Caenorhabditis elegans: one gene and its partner. The protein of the gene in region 2 purifies or fractionates together with the protein of the main gene of each other region. This does not show direct contact. Each region holds a gene or a part of one and is shown on either strand. Other genes may lie near its edges.

Region 1 (4,960 bases), on a different chromosome or scaffold from region 2:
ACTTTTGCAGTGTCAAACAGTCGATATCCGGCTGTAAGAGCAGCGTCGAGAACTGGGAGAACCTGATCTCCAATAATTTTATAAGTTCCGAGCCCGATCAGTGGGCAATCGTAACCAGTGTTCAACTTTATGGACATCTGAAAATAATTTTTTTAAAAAATTTTCTAAACGAAACTAAAGATATTATAGCGGAATATTGCGAGAGTGGAAAACTGACGTCATACAATTAAAAAGTTTCAATTTCATGTTAGAGTCACAAGAAAGAGGGAAATATCACAATGTGGGAAAAATGATTATGAAATAAACTGCAATTATTGATAAGCCATTTACTTGACGAGCCATCCGGTGCAACGAATGTAGTGCTGCCCACGATCAAGAGCTGTTAACGATTGAATATCTTCTGGAGTCAGAGCAATATCGATTACTTTGAAGTTTTCTACGATTCTTGATGGGGTCACCGACTTCGGTACGATACCAACATTCTGGCGGAGAGCCCACGCGAGAAGTACAAGCTGAAAAAAGGTATAATTGTTTGAATACAGTCTGAGAATTAATTAAACTTACAGGAACTGATGTATTGTGCTTCTTAGCTAATTCAACGACGACTGGATCTTCAATTAACTTTGGTTCGTGTCTTGCAAGTGAGGAGAAAGCCTGTAAATTGATTATATAAAACGAGTTTTCCCCAGAATATCGAAACTAACCTGGAAGAAAATGTTTTTTTCCTTGCAGTACTTCTGAAGTGGAATTCTTGCAAAATGTGGATGATACTCCAGTTGGTTAGCACATGGCGGCACCTTGGCGTATGTCTTGAGCTCTTCCAAATGCACAATTTCATAGTTTGAAACTCCAATGGAACGAACTTTGCCAGCAGCTAAAATAATAAAATTAATGAAAAATCCAATAGATTTCTGATTTTCAAACCTTTAGCCTCTTCCAGCACTTCATATGCAATTTTCCGGTATTCCGCGTTATTCACATCATCATTGTCAGAGTCATTCGGTTTTGGATAGTGAACAAGATACATATCGATATAGTCGGTTTGAAGAGATTGTAGAGATTCTTCGACAAATCCACGGCAAGCTTCTCGACAATTTTTGCTTTCTGGGAAGAATTTGGATGTCAGGAACACATCAGAACGAGATAATCCATGCTTAGGCAGGAGAATCTGTAAATTTTGAATAAAGAAGATTTGATTACAAAGAGAATGTAAACATAATTTATCTTTGAAATAAAAATATAAAAATTTACCTTTAATGCTTCTCCTAATTCCTTTTCATTCAAATAATACTTTGCCGTGTCAAACATCCGATAACCGGCAGTGAGGGCTGCATCAATTGCTGGCGGAACATTTTCTCCGGTAACTTTGTACGTTCCGAATCCGACGAATGGAATGTTATATCCGGAGTTGAGCTTTTGTGATCCTCCTGGCACATTGGCAAACGAATCCGACATTTTTCTCTGAATTTGAATATATAGCACTGAGAAAATTGCAAAAAGTGCAAGTTTTGAAAGATTAGAAGTTCTAATTTAGAACGATAAAATGGCATATACCGACTGTGGACTAAGAATTGTACAAGAAAAAGAAAGATGCAAAGGGGTTAGAGAAAGAGACAACTTGTCGATGCGGCCTGAATCGAGGTCAGTCGCATCAGGAATGAGCGGACAGCAAAAGTTATTCCCTCACTTTTAAAGAAGTAAAAGTGTTCTTTGGACAGTTTTCTTTAAGAAAAATAATCTGTGAATTTTGTTTCATTGGTGCCAGAGAAACTGATGTTTGGAATTATGCAATAAGCATGAGGATTATAAAAATAAAATTTGAAAAGAAAACTATACATTATTTGAATTCGAAATTATTTTACTTTAAAAGTTCCTTTTCTGTTTTACATCGAAAAAATACCGAAAATTTGGATTGGGCGAGACGCAGAGATTTGCCAGAGAATTAATGTTGGAAATAGCAAAACCTCATTGTATTGTGGTATTCAAAACACTAACGACAAGTTTGGAAAATTAATATATATATGAAACAACAAATAAAAAACGAATAGCAATAAAATAAATTAAAAAAAAAAACAAAAAACAAACAAAATTGGTTGATTATTTGGAATGGCTAAACAACACGCGCTTGCGAAATATCGGAGCATCGTTGGAATTGATTACGGTAATTTTTAAGAAAAGATGTCTGGAAAAGTTGGAAAGTATTATTCCTCCAGGAGCAGTTTGATATTGAAACAAAGGGTTTCAATAAACATGAAACCAAAATTCTATGGAATATAAAAGCTGGTTATTCACAGTGCTCCTCCATTAATTCCCCTCTATTCTTGGATACAACCTATTCTGCAATCTAATATCTCGGTTTAAGATATGGACAATAAAGAAATAAGAAGAACACTTGAGGACTATTTTCCTAAAGGGTTCTTGATCTCAGAATCATCAAAGTATGATTGTCATTTGGAAGACATGCATCTTGTCCTACAGCTTCTCCTAGCTACTCTGGCTGTAAATCCTGTTCCTATTCAAAATTCTTTATACGGTAACTATTTTCAGTAATAAATTTATCTCTGCTTCAAAATATTCAGGAGATGTCCAAGTTGAATGTGACTCGAGAACTATATCAGTTCAAATTAAAACTGAAAAACCATTTGTTGGGGTTATCTTTGTTAAAGATTTTGCGTCGGAAGAAGTGTGTACATCAAGAGGAACTGGAAGACTTTCAGCTTTCTTGGAAATTGAAATAGGATTATGTGGTGCACTGAGACAGCGAGTATTGAATCCAAAGGGACTTGCTGTTCGAACGACAATCACAATTTCATTTCACGTTAGTTATTTATAATAAAACATATTTCCTTATCGCTTTCTGTTTCAGCCATATTTTATCACAAAAGTGGATAGAACTTATAATTTGTTGTGCTTGTACCGGGAGAGCCAAGTCACTGTTGCAAACAACATATCCGTGGATGAAATCTCTACAATAAGCTATAATGTCAATTTGACAATGCCAACTTGTACTTATCAGGTGCGTCATAAACTAAAAATATCTCTTCTGGTTGGCTTCGTGTATACGTATAACTTTAAGATCCTTAGTGGTGGTCCGTTCGGTGAACCTGTAGAATTTGGTTTAATAGGTCAGCAGGTTTATCATCAGTGGAAGTGTGATAATGATAAAGGTATGATAATTCTTATAAAAGGTATGATTTAAAAAAAAATAAAAAAAAAAAAAATAAATAAATAAATTAATATTTATTAAGAGAGTGAGAGCTTAAGCTAAAAATAAAATAATTCCACCAAAGTGCGGCTTCAAGGTGTACTGTAGGATAGGTGTGGAAACTACAGTACTCCTCACATGCGCACGCAATTTTTCGCAGAAGTAATTATTTTATAAGATTGATCGTTTCGGGAGCAGGTTGTGCATAAACGTGCATACGTGGATGAATGAACACAGAATATAAAATTTAAGGCAACCAGTCAAATCATGGGACTAACGATTCTTAGTTTGTTTTCAGAAGACTCATTCTGCATGGTAGTTCACACGTGTTCTGTTGACGATGGACGAGGTGAAACCTCATTTCTCATAGACTCGAATGGGTGCTCAATTGATAAGTTTCTATTGTCGAACCTTGAGTATCCGGGAAACTTACTCGCTGGGCAAGAAGCTCATGTGTATAAGTTTGCTGATCGAGATGCTCTTTTCTTCCAGTGTCAGATATCAATTACCGTCAAAGAGCCAGACCAGGAATGCGTGAGACCAATATGTGAAGATGTAGAAGGCGGTGGAGCACCCGTTGTTGGGCCACCTCCATATGGTATGATTTCGAAAAATTTAGTGAACATTTGGCAAAAAAATTCATTTTTGACATTTTTTAAATCTCCTTATATGTATGTTGTTGGAATTACCAACTATCACAATAAAGCTATTCAGAAACTGTGACATTTTTGTTGCAGTTTTAGGGAAAACCCAGTTTTCACCAGTCATTACTTCGACGTCCTAAAAAGTGTTTTTCTGATGTTCTATTTTGAAAATTCGGTAATATACAAAAAACTTTGATTGAAATTTTCGAGAACTCTAACGTAATAAACACATTTCTAAATGTTTTCAGGTTTTTCTCAAAAGACACAAGTTTCTTTTAATCAACGTGCTAAACGATCAGAAACTAGCCTGGATGAGCAAATTACGGATGTTAGGACACGATTTTCTGTTAGCTATCATTTTGATATTCAAACAAATTCAATTGAAATTATTGAATCTTGTGTTTTATTGTCGACAATGTCTATTCCATTTCTCCTTTTCTACATTCTTATACTAATTTTGACATCAGTAGTTACAGTTATTATTTCTCCAAAAATATAGTTCATATCTTTAATAATCCCTTCCCATTTAAAACCACTGTTATTTTTTCGAAATGAACCATTTTTAATTAGTAGGCTATTTCAACAGAATCCATCACCGTCATTAGACGACGATGACAAGTGATTGATCACACAATCTAAACTGTGTGATTGATTTTCAAACTATTCATGTAATCAAGATAACGATTCGTGGCGTATTGCGGAAGTTGTAAAAAGTCGAGTTTCAGACAAAATTATTTAAATTAGTTACATAAGCTATACATACATGTTTAATTGTAACTCCTGACCTTCTCTCTACAAGTAAGTATATGAAATTTCATTCTTATTCTTCATTTTGAATGAACAATTTTAAAATTTGAAGCTTCTAACAACCATTGTTGCTGAGATCGTTGTGAGACCCACTCAGAAAAATATTGTGATCCTTTGAAGGGAAATATCAAGTTTTTCCGAAATTAGTATATTGAAACGATATCTGTATCATGAGTGGGCGGCAATTCAATTTTCAAAAATTCTAAAACTCGCGCAAATGCCAAACTATCAAGTTATTCATCATTTTTCGAATTGCTGATAAGAAATATCAAAATATCAAGATTGTTATAATTTTTAATGACAG
Region 2 (4,975 bases):
TATTTACTCGTCGAACCTCATGATTTCCACGTAGAAGATGAACTTTCTTCGAAAACAGAATTTTCATACAGAAAAGCCAAACAGTGACTTCCAATGAATTGGGTCCACGATCTACGTAGTCACCAAGAAAAAGATATTGAAAATCTGGTGGGCGACCAACTTCATTTGTGAATCTGTGTGAATGATTTATTTTTATTATAACTTCGATAAATTTTACTGTAACAGATCTCCGAGTTGTCCATGAATATCTCCAAAAACAACGACAGGAGCAATTATCTCAATAAGGCATGGAAGTGGCTCCAGAATCTCCTTTATCTTAAAAAAAAAAGGTTTTTGAAATTTTACTTCTTCTGTAACTTACAGTCTTCAATACTTCTAAAATATCACTATCAGAGAATCCCTCCAATGTCCCATACTTCTCAATTCGAGCAATCATTTGACGACATAATTCATGAACTTCTGTGTTAGCATGTTCCTATAAAAATTTCCAAAAATGCAAAACAGTATAGCAAGTTAATCCTACTGGGACCAGGAGTATAGTCTAGCTTTAGCTATCCAGATTAGGGTTTTTACGTGCCTATTTCATTCCTAGCTACATGCCTACCTCATACCTGCCTATATAAGCTTATATCTACGTGCTTACTTCATTCCTACAAACGTGCATATGCCATTTTTGGCAAGTTATCGGTTGTTTTACCCAAGCTTATTTGAATCGGATTTTAATGAAAAAGCACTAAACATCTTTAGGTACTTCAATCGTAAAAAAAATGAAGAGCCTCAAGGGTTGAATCCTCTGTAAAAAATTTCTTACCGTTTCAAGCATTGTTCTTCTTTTGATATTTTGCTGGCCAAGAACAAATACCTTTTGTAAAATAATTGTAAAGCCCAAAAGTTAAAGGTCAATTTCATTTTTTCCTCGTTAATCTTTTTACAAAAAGTTCACGCGATCACACATTCCTCAATCATTCTTGTCTGTCAGTGGAATAGCACGTGAATTGTGAATCCTCGATCGGATTGAATTGTGACTGGCATAACACGAGATATCACATAAAATTAGGAGTTATTAGGGATGATAAAGAATGTGAAATAGTGTAAGGAAGATGTAGAGACGCAGACAACTCTCGGACATTCGACCTCAAATCACGGACCTCCAGAGCATAGACAAGCTTAACTTTGTATCATTTGTTCAGCTATCATTTATCAGAAGTTGTTTTTTGTACTGTTTCTGAATAAAAGTGAATCCTCTTTTCTTGTAAAATTTACATTTTTAATTTTCTAAGTCTACTAGACTAGTAGTACTAGTAGATCATTTTCAAAAATAGCCAACATCAATTATGAAATTTAAATTCAAATAATATCAAAACCCATAAATACATTAAATTTTCTGAATATTGTATTTACAGTCCCCTACTACATAGCATATGTAATTAATGAGATCCCTCTGTTTAACATTTGAATAATTCGGACCCGACATTAAGTAGATTTTTCTAAAAACATTTCACGTTTTGAAATGTTGATAGAATAATGAATGAAACAATCTTGAGAGTTGGCTTCAGTGGAATTTCTTTCTAACTTGTATTACCCGGCAACTTCTCATTTAAGGTACTCGAGAATTCATAAAAAGTTAACGATATACGTCGAAACTACTCCTAATTTGAACAGTAATTTTCTTCCCATTTATTTCAAAATGAACATTGAAAAATTAAATATTTTTCAGATGATATCATTATCACTGGTACTTCTTCTGCTGTTTGGCGTTCGGTGCTTTGATTCAGCAGGTGAGTCACTTCAAAACTCGTGAACAAGTTTTGCACATGTCATGCGTTGTTTGAGAAATGCGAAGGAAAAATTTCATACGTAGGTTTCAGATGCAACAAAGTTCAAATATATTGAAGCATCTCGAGAACCATGAGGTGTTTTGTAAAACTGAGCTCAAGACTTGTACATAATCTTAATCAGAATAGACATAAACAGTGGCAGACTTTCAAAAATTAATCTTTCAGGTCAAATAAACGACGACTCACCATTATTCATTAGCACATCAATTGATAATTCAATGAATTTAAAAATCTTGGTGGAAAAGAAACCATATTTTACGGGCTCTGTTACGGGTTACAAGCTCTATTATACAAATGATTCAAGTCAAACCAATGAAGAATATGAGAAATGGATGCATCAAGAAGCACTTTCAAATCAGAATTCATATAATTTTGTAATTGATGCAAATAAACATGAAATCGTGTCAGGAGATGTATATCGAGTCAGAGCAACTGTTTTCTTCAATAATGTGGAAAGTGTTCCAACTGGAGTTATTTCAATCAATACAAGACAATCTATTCCAAAAGCTCCATTGATTGTTAACACTAAAATACTGTACAATTCATCTGTACTCATTTCATTTGTACCTGCTGATGATGTCAACGCTATCGAGGTTAGTATGGATTTGTAATACTGTTCTTTTGAATTAAACTTGAAATTGATAATTGATAGCTATTAAAATACTTTTGATTCCAGAACTATACTTTGATGTATAAACAAATGGAAGCGGAAGAATGGAAATCATTGAATTTCAAATCTGATTTTGATGGAAAGGTGAGATCATGGTTTAAAGGTGGAGTTGTGCCAACGGGGGAAATGTTTGAATGTTCGCATGCTTCCATATAAAACGACCAATTTAAACTTTTCAAAATTGTTTTAAATGTTTCATAACAGTCAAAATGAACAATTATTCAAATTTTATCATAAGTTTGGAAGTCGACCAAAAAAAAGCTCTACAAGTTATGCATTATTCGTATTCAAACATTATAAAGCTTCAAAATAATTTGTGAACTTCGTCGATTTTTGATAATTTTGGGTGTTTGGGAGTATTCAAACTTACTTAATTCTTTTTGGGGACTTTTTATTATTTGAAAAAATTTGGAAAATGTTCAGGTTCTTCTCGATGGCCTTATTCCAAACCATACTTATGAAATCAAAATTTTTGTAACGGGTGGAATAGTACAAGGAACTCCGTCAAATTTGGCAACGTTCACAACAAATTCAACTGCATTGGCTCTCGTAAAAACAGAACCAGATGAAGAATATACTGCTGATCCTCAAACAAATGAACCATTGAGTATTACATGTACTGTTAAATCAGTCAGTAAAGCATCAGTTTTATGGAAAGTTAATGGTGAGAAATTATTTTTTAAAAAAGTCATAAATCAATTTAAGACTCCACCGATCAATAAAACAAAGTTTTCAGGAATAAAAGTATCCGTAGATTCAAGTTTCTACACAGTTGTCACTTCAGTTCATGAAGATTTTATTGAGTCAACAATTCGTGCTAAATCTAGAACTCGATCTGCAAAATTCACTTGTTTAGCTACAAATGATGCTGGGGACTCATCAAAAGAAGTTAATGTAAGAATAAATATTTAATTGTGACCAGTTCAGCATGAAACAAACCAAGTCAATATACATTTCAAAATTGCAATTTTGTAGGTAATCATAAAAGGACCCGGAAGTCCTCCGTCTGAAATCACACTAGTCGCAGAAAAAAGAGGTTACACAATTTCATGGAAACCTCCATCACATCCTAATGGAAAAATTACGGTGAGGTATATTAAAACACAGAATTAATCAATAATAACTGTTTTCAGAAATATGTAGTATATCACACATTAAATCGAGAAGATCCATTATCCGATTGGCGAAAAATTGATTTGGATGGATCTGAAAAGATGGTTCGAATAATAATGGATACGGAAGAAAGTTTTTATGGAAGAGTTCAAGCTGCAACTGAACTTGGTCCTGGAATTATTTCTGATATTGTGGCAATGGAAAGAGATAGTGAGTGAAATCTAAGTTACATAAATAATCAAGTTTATTTAATTTTCAGCTCAACCAATTTCCGTCGAGTCTGACCTTTTTGGAGTGTCTGCAACCACAATGGTGGTGAATCCACGAGAAACAGTGAGTTCATTAATTAATTTTTAAAAAAATCAATTCATTTCTTCTATTGTCTCAGTTTTGTATTCCAGCTCTCGATTCAATGTACTGCACGTGGCAAGCCTCGTCCATCAATATCAGTTGCAATAAGTGATCGAAAAAATGCGAGTCAGGTGGAAGTTGATGTTTGGAGTCGTTTACAAGCCACGTCATCGGCTGGAATTGTATCTGCAGTACACAACTTTTCAGTGCTTACATCAAAATTCGTGCACTGTAGGGCAAAAAATTCAGCAGGCAGCAATTATTCTACAATGGAATTGAAAGTTGATAGTGAGTTAAATAGACACACTTCATAAATTTTTTACTTCCTTGCATAAATCTGAAAACTATTCAGAACCAGGAGATGCTCCAACTCAAATTCAAGTGCTCAGTGTCAATGCACTAGACGCTCTCGTAGTGTGGCACTCACCACAATTTCCAAATTCTCCGATAACAGTAAGTATTTATTTTTGTCAAGAGTTGAAAATAACTAAAAAATGAGATTTTATTAAAGTACAAAAATAGTGAAAATTTTGATGCTTTCATTTGATTTTTCCATATTAATACTCAAAACTACTTCAGAGTTACATAGTTCTTGTGAGCAATGATGATAAAGAAGACAAAAGTACATGGCTTCAATATGAATCGAACGCTAAGGAAACACAAATCAATAGGTAATTTGAAATAGTCACATTTATAACTTTGGAAACATTTTCAGAATGCTTCTTCCAACTGGAAATCTGGAAAAATCAACAGAATATTTTGTATGTGTTCGTGCAAAAAATGCAGCAGGAATTGGTCCAACAAGCAGTTTGATATCATTTATAACGTTGAATGGAGGACCTGATAGTCCTCCGGATAACTTAAAAGTATTGATAAATGAGGCAAATCAAGTGATTGTTTATTGGAATACACCTAATTCTACGACTGAAGTTACTGTTAGTTTTTTAGGCTCAACATCAAATAAACAATAATTATTCAGGGATATCTGATCTACTACACCCGA

The links.
Region 1: the proteins of C27B7.7 (region 2) and cutl-1 fractionate together in Caenorhabditis elegans (co-fractionation; one large-scale study listed by BioGRID). This does not show direct contact.

What each region holds. Positions count from the first base shown.
Region 1 is NC_003283.11:13,403,419-13,408,378, reverse strand, and holds cutl-1 (ZP domain-containing protein), read left to right. Parts: upstream 1-2,264; 5' UTR 2,265-2,364; coding exon 2,365-2,533; intron 2,534-2,579; coding exon 2,580-2,818; intron 2,819-2,866; coding exon 2,867-3,016; intron 3,017-3,076; coding exon 3,077-3,167; intron 3,168-3,503; coding exon 3,504-3,803; intron 3,804-4,097; coding exon 4,098-4,348; 3' UTR 4,349-4,418; downstream 4,419-4,960. Other genes in the region: F53F1.3 (NADP-dependent oxidoreductase domain-containing protein), read right to left, coding at 1-137; F53F1.2 (NADP-dependent oxidoreductase domain-containing protein), read right to left, coding at 327-512, 565-654, 705-874, 925-1,168, 1,252-1,455.
Region 2 is NC_003282.8:8,905,332-8,910,306, forward strand, and holds the start of C27B7.7 (Ig-like and fibronectin type-III domain-containing protein C27B7.7), read left to right. Parts: upstream 1-1,711; 5' UTR 1,712-1,717; coding exon 1,718-1,778; intron 1,779-2,003; coding exon 2,004-2,431; intron 2,432-2,514; coding exon 2,515-2,592; intron 2,593-2,931; coding exon 2,932-3,172; intron 3,173-3,244; coding exon 3,245-3,402; intron 3,403-3,483; coding exon 3,484-3,594; intron 3,595-3,641; coding exon 3,642-3,831; intron 3,832-3,880; coding exon 3,881-3,954; intron 3,955-4,022; coding exon 4,023-4,260; intron 4,261-4,324; coding exon 4,325-4,425; intron 4,426-4,551; coding exon 4,552-4,643; intron 4,644-4,687; coding exon 4,688-4,907; intron 4,908-4,951; coding exon 4,952-4,975. Other genes in the region: Putative serine/threonine-protein phosphatase C27B7.6, read right to left, coding at 1-173, 218-315, 362-475, 812-823.